Linked DNA regions of Notamacropus eugenii. The main gene of each other region encodes a partner of the protein of the gene in region 2 in a complex. Links are inferred from orthologs where the notes say so. Each region holds a gene or a part of one and is shown on either strand. Other genes may lie near its edges.

Region 1 (3,747 bases), on a different chromosome or scaffold from region 2:
TTCTCTTATGCCATGTTTGGTACTGCAAGATGCCACACCAGCGAGGTGCCATCCGTCACCTGAAAGCAAATAATAAAGGTCTATCCGAGCCTTTCAGTAAATAAACCTAAGGGACTCTTCCTCTAAAAAGCTCCTAAAAACCAGTCGTCTCCAGAGACCAGTCTTCCTGACGTCTGAATGTTTGCAGCTGAAAAGGTCATCGCGAAGGCGGCCGTCAAGGTCAAGGAGAGCTTTCCGACTTCTCTTTGCTGTGGCCCATGAACTCCAGCCCTTCTATAGGAATCTCCTTCTCCTTGATCGCTTTCTGTGGATTGAGAAATGACATATACAAAGGAAAGACTCAGAGAAAGGAGCGTCTCAAGAATCTAAAGCGCTCCTGACCGGACGAGGAATCAGACCAACGTCGCCAAGCGCTGGGCTGGCTTCCCGACCTGTGACCCTCCTCGGGGAGCTCCGAGCTGGGCACTCAGGCCTCAGAGGCACACAGCAGGGGATCCCAGGGCTGGGCCGCCGACCCCTCCCCACCACCGCGCCGGCACGTGACCAGTCCGGCCGGCGGCGCTCGGGAGCCCAGTGGCCACGGCCACGCAGGGCCCACGCCCAACCCGCGGCTCTCGGGGCTCACCTGCACGCACTGCTGGTAGCGCTTGAAGAGGTCGGTGCAGGGGTCCCCGGAGCCGTCGCCCTTGAGGAACTTCTCGGCGAACCAGCGGTTGAAGCACTGGTCGTACTCTCGCTTCATGTCGGTGCAGGCCTCTCCCACGCTGTTCATGGCGACCAGCCCCGCAGTGGAAGGGCGACGGCGCGCTGCCGACGTCACTCGCGGAGCGCCGCTTACGTCACGCCGGAGCGCCCGTTTCCGGCTCGCAGTGAGGCGGCCGCGACCCCGGAGATGTGGCGTCGGATGCTCCAGCGGACGCTGCGGACAGGGCTGAGCCCCGGCGTGAGGGGCGCCATAGCCGGGGGGCCGGGAGCACGAGTCGGGAGCTGCCGGTCTGCGGGGGACGACTCGGGGAAGCCCCCACCCCCCGGCCCCCGCCCGGGCGACCGAGTGAGCGCCGAGCTGATCGAGCACCTGGAGCGCCTGGCCCTGGTGGATTTCCGAAACCGCGAGGGCGTAGAGCGGCTGCGGGCGGCCATCGAGTTTGCGGAGAAGCTCCGCGCCGTGGACACGGACGGCGTGGCGCCCATGGAGTCGGTGCTGGAGGACCGGTAGGCAAGGCCGTGCACGTCCGTGTGCACGCGGGGGCTCCTCGGGCAGGGATCCCCGATCGCCCAGCGCAGGAGCGCCACACGTGCCGGCGTTTTAACGGCCCCCTCGATGACATGACGTCATCTGCAGTTACCCTCCCAGGAGCGGGGTGGGCGTGCCTCCGGTGTCAGCAGGAGGTCACGAGTAGTGGAAATCCACCCCACCCAAAAGTGCGAAAACGCGGCTCCAAGTGATTGGGTTAGTGTGGAGACCGGCCCCAGGGCTGGTGGAGGTCCCCCGCCCCGTACCCCCGCGGCAGAAGCTCGGGGTCCGGGCCCCTTGCCTATGGGGCGGGCTTCTGGACTGTTGTAGGTGCCTGTACCTGAGAGCCGACGACGTGGTAGAAGGCGGCTGTGTGGAAGACCTGCTGCAGAACTCGCAGCAGACTGTGGAGGAGTATTTTGTGGCACCCCCAGGTAGATGCTACATTGGGGTGCTGGGCAGTCATGTTGCAGCTCAGAGGCAAGGTTTGGGGGGGATGAATAGGTTTGAAATGATTCTGGGAGTATAAAGTGCTGTTTGAATCCCAGGGAGGTGTTAGCCACCCTTAGGCTGTAAACGCGTTGTAAACCTTTTCCATGTAAGACTTTCAGCCCATTTGAACCCCACAACTTAGCAGCCTGTTTTTTGAAGTCAGTTCTACATTTTGGACTTTGAGCTTCATAACAGCGTTGTATCCTCACCCTTCTCCGACGTATGCCCAGCTTAGATGCCAGTCCAGGAAGCTGGTAGAGGGCATAGCACTTCCATATTACCCCCATACTGAAAGGGATTCCGGTTGGGTCAGGGAATCTCAATTTGGTATAGATCGTAGAGTGTCTCTGGTTCTGTGAATTACTTAAACGTTACCAAGTAGTTGCTGGAAGCAGGGGGAGTACCCTTGAGCCATATAGATTTTTTTCTGGAGAATATGGATTCAAATTCCTCTTCTTGGGATGTGTCAAGTGACTATATGGATTCACTGATTGATAACCTCCTCCCTCACAAAAAACCCCAATCCAGAACTAAGCCAGGTAGTTTTCATTTCCTTCCCACTGCTCAGAGGTGCCTATCTAAAGTATTTCAGGAATTACTTTGGTGTGGATGTTTCTTCTGCCAATTGCAACCCCCACTGTCTGAGGATGTTAGGTAATTCCACAATGGGCACTCCTTTCCCTCTTAAATGTGTAGCAAATCTAGTAGTGATCCAGGTATTCCTAGCTGAGAAAGCAGAGTGGTGACAACATTGTTTTCATGAAACACCAACTAGTTTCAGAAGCAAGAAGAGTTAGGCTTAACTGTAATTCTTTCCTTTTTGGATTTTAAACAGGGAACATCACTCTGCCAAAACAAAGTGAACAAGATCCAGCACTGCTTTGAGGAATAGTGCTCACAGTAGGAAATGATGTAGATGGAGGACCTTGGGAAAGACTAAGTTGAAAAAAACTCCCTTGAACTTCCTCAACACAACCAGGTTCTGGCCCCTTTTCTCCTCTCCCCCTGCTGCTCTCCAGTGAAGATGGGGTGAGGATGGAGAACTGCTGAAGTGAGATCCTGCTCTCCCCGATAGAGGTCAAGGAAGACTAGGGACTTGGAGAAAAGCTTCCCAGGAAATGGATCAGGAATTCACTTAGTACCTGGGTCACATGTTGGAAGTGTCTTGTGGTAATTGCAAAATCACCTTTGGTTCAGAGTTTCTGCATGCTGTTATGTAGAGTGAGTTTCTAACCAAAATGCACTTTTGCCCAAGAATTTGTTTTTTCCTGATCAAAGGACTCCATGCAGTCTGGATTATTCATATTTCCTCCCTAAGTATTCCTAGTCTCTTCATAAAGTATCTTCTTTTATCAGTGATTTCCTCTACTGCCAAAGCCTCCATTCAGAGAGAAACAGACTGAAAAGCTCAGCACTGGATTTCGTCTAACAGCAGACCACCACCGACTGTTCCCGTTCAAGCCCCTACTGAGAAGTTCTGTTCAGATAACTTCTCTTATTCTTTTAATCCTCTATCTGCCTGGCACAGAAAAACTGAGTTTACGTAATTAAAATAACCACGACTTGGAAACTATTAAACTTTAGAAATATATTTCTAAACAGAATGGGCTGATTCCTATATATAGTGTCTGTGCAGAGTAACCCACCTTGACACAGCATTGCTTTTTCTCCATAATTGGGGGAGGAAGGGGAACTATGCAACTTGCTTCTAAACCAAAACAACTGCAGCAGTTCAAAATATTTCACTGCCAATATGGCCCTGGTAGAAACTGTATGTATGTAGTTGTATGTAGTTTTTCCTTTAAAAAAAAAGTTATTAAAAAAAAATCCTAAGATACTAAGTCAATTTGGAATGTAGATTCCGAGCAGAGAGCAACTCAGTTCACACTAAAAAAAAAAACAAACAAAAAACAGAACCAAAAAAACCTCATAAGCGGTTTCAATATGGTGCAAAGGAAGAGGTGTAGTATGGGGAGCCCCTGCTTTGGTATGGAGAATCACGGCCCCTTGACCCTGAGCGG
Region 2 (3,747 bases):
ATCTGCTGAAACAGTTCACCAGGGCACAGTCGCTGTGCATACTATAGCTTGGAGTCACAGGGAAGAGTTGGGGCAACTGGGTGGACACCAAAGGTGGAAAGCAGTCCTGAAAGGGGCTCAACAGCCCTCACACCACAAGTACTAGTCTTCCTCAGACACACCAACACTCTGCCACTTACGCCTAATAACTAACACCAAGAAAACAGGGTGCTCCACCAGCCAGCACCATGCCGTCCATACATGGAACCCACTGGTTATAGCAAATGGATAAAGTTTGAATGCTGTGCATAAGTTCACTTACCTCAGCGGTGTGCTTTCCAAGGATGGACACATTCATGATGCACACCTTGTCAGAACTAGTTCAGTATCTGGGAGGCTTGGAAAGGAGAAAGGAGAAAGGAGAAAGGAGCGGTGTTGGAAGGCCTACCCACCGAAAGTCTACAGAGCTGTTGTGCTAACCTCACTGCTGTAAGCCTATGAAACCTGGACAGTCTACCAGCCACCTCAGCAAACTGAACTGCTTCCATCAGGAAGACTCTGACGGTCACTTGAGGAGGTAAGGTACCAGGCATAAGGGGTCCCTTCTGAACTGCCAAGCATCCAACTCAACCGCAACTCTGACGGACTGGCCAAGGGGTTTAAATGCCAAACACACATCTGCCTAACCAAATATTTTCAGAACTCGCACAAGGCAAGCGCTCGCACGAAGATCTATCTCAAGGTCTCTCAGGAGAACTCTGGAGTCCAGCGGAAAGCATGGCAGACACGGGCCCAGAGCCCTGCTCTCTGAGGTCCCTCTTGAACTCATGGTCCTCTGACCTTCCTGCTGACGGTGTTATTTGTACATCAGAGAAGGCCCCTGCTCAAAAGCAGGGTGGGGGGGGGCAAACTTGGAGACCTCTCCGCTCCACGCGTGCCCGAGCTGTGCTGGAGGAGCCTTCCCAGCCCGGCCTGGTCTGGCCCGGCCTGGTCTGGCCCGGCCGCGGGCACGCTCTACGGGGCCCCCAACACGCTGGCGTCACTTTGGTCCTCCTGGAGAACGACAAGAACCACCAACAAGCTGTGGCGCGTCCTCGCGGGCCCCAGAAATGGCCAGCGGGCAAGGAGGGCACCGTCCTGGGTTTGCCCTTGAGACCCTGCCAACCTGCAATAGCGCAGTGGCTGGTACAAAGTAGGCCGACTGGCACTGAGGTGAACTGAGTTAAAGTTTATCCAGTCACTTTGACTAGCTCAGTCAACTAGCCTCCCCCAAGAATTGGAAAGCCCGGACCCGCTTCGGCTCCTCCTTCCTCCGCCTCCGCCCACGTGCTGGGCCCCGCAAGGGTCGACGGGAATGGTAGTTTTCCCTTGGGAGTCTCCGCTGCCCCTCCGTGCTTCCGGGACTACGCTTCCCGGGGAGCTCCGCGGCTGCCGCTCAGAAAGCGGTCACCTGACTCAGCCTCGGAGGCGCGATGGCGGCGCCCATGCTGCGCTGCGCCCGAGCTGGACGGGGTTGGTCTCTGGGCTCCCGTCCCCGCCGCACGAGACCGCTTTTCGCCGAGCCGGCGCCGGGCCGGGTGAGAGGGCGGAGCTCCGCAGCGGCGCAGGAGCCGAGGCCGGGGTACAGAAGCCGCCAGGGGAGGAGGAAGGGCCGACGGGGGGTGGGGGTAGGGGTGGGGGTGGGGCGCGTTACTCCCCTCCAGAGCACGCTGTCCCGAGGCCCCTGCCCGGCTTCGCTGGGGGCAGGGAGGGGGGGCGGCTTTGGAAGCGGGGATCCCCAGCGGGTTCTAGAGTCTCCTGTCCGGAGTGGGGTGGGCACGGGAATGGGAAGGAGGCAGGCTCAGCTGTACATCTCTTAGTCCTGTAGCAGCCAACCGAGAAAAGAGGGTGGTGGAGGTGGGGGGAGCCGCGGATTGGGATTCCCAGACCTGAGAGCCCCTCAGGAAGGGACCCGAGGGCCTAACGACACGGGGACACGTGGCCCGCAGACTGAGAGCAGGATCTGGGGGAAAGCTCAGAAGTCAAGTCTCCTTCCACCGCATCCAGAGGTGTTAGCAGAGGGAGACACAGTGGAAACAGACCGGGTGCTGAGGCTGGACTAGTCCGTTCACAAGCATTTCTTATTCGCCTGCGCTGTGCCAGGCGCTGCATTTTCCCTTCTCTGTGCCTCAGTTTCCTCATCCGTGAAGTGAGGGGGTTGGTCAGACTAGGTGAGCCAATCCACAGACATTCATTATTCACCTACTGTGTGCTAGGCTCTTAAGTACTCAAGGATCACTGGCACCTCCAAGTGTCAGAGGTTACCTAAGTGACTTCAGCCCCAGATTTGTGCAGGTAACAAGCAGAGCTAGAATTTCAAGCCATATCCTTGAACTCCAAAACCAGTGTTGTTTCCCCTACACTATGATGCAGCTTTCAAAATCAAATCATTGACTGTTTGGGCTGTGTGCCAGGCACTGTACTGGTACTGTGTAGAAGGTAAAAAGTAGCATAGAACTTAAGCCTCCGACTTCCAGCAGCTTACAGGCTTTGGGGAGACTGGTTTAATAATTGAATAACAGTGTCACTAGATTATATACATACATATATGATACATATACATGTATATGAGACCAAATGAATTATTCTGAAAATTATTGTGCAGGAGTTAAGAGCGGAGAAGCCTTAAGACACAGTTCATGAAGGTTTTGTGAAAGAGGTTGAGTCATTGTTGCACTTAGTACCTTGGTGATCATGGGCAAGTTAATTTACCCTCTGGGAACTGCAGTTTCCTCATCTATAAAATGAGATTACATTAGACCAGAGATTCTCAACCTGTGGGCCTCAGGCCAGGAATCAAAGAATCAAGAAATGAATCCCCAGATAAGTAAAGAAACCCAATGTAAACTGAGTAATGTCCCAAATACAAATATCATTATTTTTCAAATTTACATAGATGCTGTTATGATGAATAAAATTCAAATACATTTTAAAACATTGTTAAATTCATAGTAGGTTGTTTTGTTTTTTTTTTATCATGTATCTTAGTAGATATCAGTAGTACAGCTACCTTCATTTGTGGGGTTCTGAATTTTTTTATATATTAAAAAATGGGGAAAAGGAGCTCAGACTTGAAAAAAATTAAGAACTAGATTATACTAGATCATAGAAGCAAAGATTCATAGCTGGAAGTGACCTAGGAGGTACAGCATCTGTTTCAGTATTTTCAGATGCCCAGACAGATTAAGTGTCTTGCCTAAAGTGATCCAAGTAGTAAGTGGCAAAGCCAGAAATAGAATCCCCTAATTTCAAACCCAGCACTCATTCTACTGCACCGTACTAGACTGTTAACTGTGATCATTTGAAGTCTCACTGAAAAGATAGTCTTTGACTAAAAATTTTGAACATGACCTTGTGCGACTTTTGTATCCCTAGTAGTACAGCATAGTGGGGACCACACCCGTGATTTCATTGACAGAGGGAACTCCCAGCAGGGAAAATCCTTTTACCAATGCAGATTTACACCTGCTCTGCAACTTATAGGCTTAATGGGTTGCCTACTAGCTCATTAAAGACAGGGACTGTTTCTTATTTCATCTTTATATCTCTATGGTTCACTAAAACAATGAGCCATAATAAGAGTTTATTGAACTGAATTCATTATAATATTTATCCCCTTGGGGTCACAAGACCTGAGTTTGAGTCTCTCCTGCTCTTTACTAGAGCTGTGACCTTAATTAAATAATTTAATCCCTTCAGAGCTCCCTCTTCACTTCTGCAAAATTGAAA
Region 3 (3,747 bases), on a different chromosome or scaffold from region 2:
ATAAAATTAAGGAGAGAGGAATATGTTGGGAGGAGAAAGGAAGAAATGGAATGGAGCAAATTATCTCGCATAGAAGAGGCAAGAAAAAGCTTCCAATGGAGGGGAAAAAAGGGGAGGTAAGAGGGAAAAAGTGAAGCTTACTCTCATCACATTTGGCTCAAGGAAGGAATAACAGGCACACTCAATTTGGTATGAAAATCTATCTTACGATACAGGAAAGTAGAGGAGAAGGGGAGAAGCAGGGTGGGGGGGGAGGATGGAAGGGAGGGTAAATGGGAGGAGGAACAATTAGAAGTAAACACTCTTGGGGAGGGACAAGGTCAAAAGAGAGAATAGAATAAATGGAGGGCAGGATAGGATGGAGGGAAATATAGTCAGTTCCCTACAACATGACTATTATGAAAGTCTTTTGCAAAACTACACATATATAGCTTATATATAATTATATATAATTGCTTGCCTTCTCAGTGGGATGGGTGGGGAGGGAGGAAGGAAGAGAAGTTGGAATTCAAAGTTTTAGGAACAAATGTTGAGAATTGTTTTTGCATACAACTGGGAAATAAGAAATACAGGTAATGGGGTACAGAAATTTATCTTGCCCTACAGGGCAAGAAAGAAGATGTGATAAGGGAAGGGAGGGATGTTAGAAGGGAGGGCACATTGGTGGAAAGGGCAATCAGAATGCAAGGTGTTGTGGGGTGGGGGGAGGGGAGAGATGGGGAGAAAATTTGGAACTCAAAATTTTGTGGAAATGAATGTTGAAAACTTAAAATAAAAAAATAAATAAGAAAATATATATGTTTAATGCAATTTTCCAATTCTGCCTTCTGGAGAAGCTAAAGACTGAGTGAGGCAGACATTTTGAATTGTTTTTCAAGCTATATGAACTGTGCCCCATTCATTCACACTATTTCATGTTCCCCTTTTGACCATGGCTCTCAGGATCTTCAAGGAACCAGGCAGATGGGTGGAGTGTTGCGAGGAAAGAGAAGCAGGCAGACTAACAAAGGAAGTCAACCAATGACACTATCACTGGATGCTCTCCATTGTAGTCTAGTGATTAGGATTGTGACTTTTAATGTCATGACCCAGTTTCCCTTTCTGGGTAGCGAAGAGGCTAGAGAGATACAGTTCGGACTGGCCGTAGGGAAGAAGGCAAGATTTTATTTTGCTTAAACTGAGGAAGTCAATTCTTACCTTTGAAAGGCAGAAATCTTACATCATATTATCTTGACAGTTCAATTCCTGCTCATTATACTTATAAACCACATGTCATGGGCAAATCACTGAAGCTCTGGGCTTCAGTTTCCTTATCTGTAAAATGGGGATAATTATACCTCTATGACCTGCCTCACAGGGTTGTTTTGAAGTGTAAACAAGAAATTGCAACTTGGAAAACACTTTTCTCATTGAAGTAATGTTATAAATACAGAGTGAGGATCCTAGATTAGTACCAAAAAAGCTCCACAAAAAATATGCCACCAATACTAAACCCATAATGCAGTATTTTGATAAATTTGTAGTCCCTGTTCTGGATGCCAGGAGCATGCACAGGTCTATACAGTACAGAAAGGAGAAGAATTTAGCCTCCCTATTCTGAAACCCTAAATAAAAGTTTAAAGTTGATAGTAACTTAACAAGTAGTTAAGTTAGTCCTGCTTGGCAGTGTGTCCTCAGTGTTAGTTTCTCCGAGTCCTTGATTTTCAGTCTCTTCCCTTTTCTCTAGTTATGAACCTAGATTCCATAAGAGCCATTTCACCCTCTCAGAATTGTAGACAGTTGAAGAGGCAAAGCACTGGCATTGAGGGGGTTGGGGATTATCCAAACTGCTTTAAAACTTGCAAAGTACTTTACTATACCTCAGCCTCATAGCAATCCTGAAAGGTATGTTATCAATCAATCAATCACATTAGGCACTGTGCTAAGCACTTTGGGGTACCAACATAAAAAAAAGGTATCCCCTAGACTTAGTGTATGTATGTACATATGAACACACATATATACACATCTCTACACCATACTATATTTGCTATGCATATATTGGGTATATATGCTTAATATATTATATATGCATATATGTATATATACATATATGTGTATATATACGTACATATATATACATATATATGTATACACACACACATATATATATGTTTCACATCTATAAGCTCCACGGAAAAAACTGATTCTTTTTTTTATTTCTGGACACCTAGAAAATGAATCAATTCTCTCCATGATGGAATTTATATTCTTGGTGCACAGTAAAGTGTATACACTAAATATGTAAATAGCAAATATAGTAAGATATTGTAGTCAAATATACCATTATGTTATCAGAGAGACCAATGACTCGTCCAAGGTCACACGGTGGCCGGTGCTGAACCAAGGCAACGTGGCAGAGGGGGCAGCAAACGAAGACGAGGGGTTCTATTTCGCCTAAGTGACCATGTGTCAGCCCCCTCTCCTTCACAGCGAGGAAACAGGCACTGTGGGGCTTCTGAAAGACACCCCTTCTCCCGCGCCCCTCCCCCACACGCCTACATTAAAAGGTGCCCTAACCCGGACCCGAAGAGCTCTGCCCCGCACGGGCCTCACGCGCACACACTGCGGGACGACGCTGGGCCCGAGAACGTAACGACGACCGCGACATCACAGGCCGCCTCCCCGCGCCTGCCCAGGGCCCGTCGGCCCGGGGTGCACGGACTGTGGCGCCCCACGCCATGCCAGTGACGGCCCGGGCGCTGGTCCCTCCCCCCGCAGGCCGGTGACACTCACTTCTCGGAGGCTGAGACCTAGCATGGCGCTGCTCCCTGCGGGATCAGCCGCCCGGCCCCTGTTACCCTGAAGAGACCTCCGAGGAAGAGCCGCGGAGGGGAGAAAGGTCAAGGGCCGCCGCTTGCCGGTGTTACATGGGCGCGGCCATCTTGGATCTGCCTCCTCGCACCCCTTAGCGTCGCGCACCCCGGTTGGTCCGCGAGCAATGATCCTCGCACACCATTGGCTGCCGCTGCCTGGGTCATGCCGGGGAGTGGGGGGCGGGACTCGTGGGAAGCAGGAAGCCTCCAATCCTCCCGACCCTCCACGACCTCTAGCTCAGACCCCGGCCGGGGCTGGGGACGGGTGGGTGTACCTAGTCCTCAGGCTCCTGGGATCTCGGGGAGCAAACAGGGCTGGGCAGGGGCTTTAGGCGTTAGGGTTAGGCCGGGGTCTGCAGGGGAGCTTTAGGGGTCGGGGGTGCGGAGATAGTGCTTTGCGGGGGCGGCGGGGTGAGGACAAGCAGGGAGAGTTGTTATTATCATTATTGGACTTTTTTGGAGGAGATCAATTAGAAGAACGGGCAGAGCCCATTCATTATAGACGAAAATTGTATTTTGACCCTTGACCCGAGCAGCGGTAGAAATAGTTGATTACTGACATTAATGATTTAAAACCTTTTTTTGCCATCTCCTCCCCCAGGGGGTTCACTGATTACTTCTTGGGCCCCCCCTTTCTATTCTCAATACTCAGTTTAAAAAACGCGCTTATTTAGCCGAACCGGGCGGAGTTAAGGCTCGGGGCCGGGCCGGGCCGGGCTCGGGGCTGCTCCTGGCTCAGGTGAGGCTGCTGCCGGAGCCACGTGGGCGCCCGGTACCTGGGGATGGAGGTTCTGAAGAGGCTGGTGCTGAGGAGGGCGGGCGGGCTGTGCCCGGGGAGACCGTGGCGGGTCAGAGACTTCGGCACCACGGCTTCCAGGAGCACCGTGATGCC

Evidence for each region. The genes of interacting proteins can lie anywhere in the genome.
Region 1: GATB (region 2) and GATC share a complex: the UniProt entries of both Homo sapiens proteins name them as parts of the heterotrimeric GatCAB amidotransferase (AdT) complex. The link is inferred for Notamacropus eugenii from reciprocal best matches to the Homo sapiens genes GATB and GATC.
Region 3: GATB (region 2) and QRSL1 share a complex: the UniProt entries of both Homo sapiens proteins name them as parts of the heterotrimeric GatCAB amidotransferase (AdT) complex. The link is inferred for Notamacropus eugenii from reciprocal best matches to the Homo sapiens genes GATB and QRSL1.

The regions. Positions count from the first base shown.
Region 1 is NC_092875.1:24,825,806-24,829,552, reverse strand, and holds GATC (glutamyl-tRNA(Gln) amidotransferase subunit C, mitochondrial), read left to right. Parts: upstream 1-892; coding exon 893-1,212; intron 1,213-1,564; coding exon 1,565-1,668; intron 1,669-2,561; coding exon 2,562-2,611; 3' UTR 2,612-3,317; downstream 3,318-3,747. Other genes in the region: TRIAP1 (TP53-regulated inhibitor of apoptosis 1), read right to left, coding at 221-304, 626-772; SRSF9 (serine/arginine-rich splicing factor 9), read right to left, coding at 3,666-3,747. UniProt on the Homo sapiens protein: Allows the formation of correctly charged Gln-tRNA(Gln) through the transamidation of misacylated Glu-tRNA(Gln) in the mitochondria. The reaction takes place in the presence of glutamine and ATP through an activated gamma-phospho-Glu-tRNA(Gln).
Region 2 is NC_092877.1:149,562,705-149,566,451, reverse strand, and holds the start of GATB (glutamyl-tRNA(Gln) amidotransferase subunit B, mitochondrial), read left to right. Parts: upstream 1-1,414; 5' UTR 1,415-1,451; coding exon 1,452-1,600; intron 1,601-3,747. UniProt on the Homo sapiens protein: Allows the formation of correctly charged Gln-tRNA(Gln) through the transamidation of misacylated Glu-tRNA(Gln) in the mitochondria. The reaction takes place in the presence of glutamine and ATP through an activated gamma-phospho-Glu-tRNA(Gln).
Region 3 is NC_092873.1:186,017,323-186,021,069, reverse strand, and holds the start of QRSL1 (glutamyl-tRNA(Gln) amidotransferase subunit A, mitochondrial), read right to left. Parts: upstream 2,898-3,747; 5' UTR 2,800-2,897; coding exon 2,776-2,799; intron 1-2,775. Other genes in the region: RTN4IP1 (reticulon-4-interacting protein 1, mitochondrial), read left to right, coding at 3,638-3,747. UniProt on the Homo sapiens protein: Allows the formation of correctly charged Gln-tRNA(Gln) through the transamidation of misacylated Glu-tRNA(Gln) in the mitochondria. The reaction takes place in the presence of glutamine and ATP through an activated gamma-phospho-Glu-tRNA(Gln).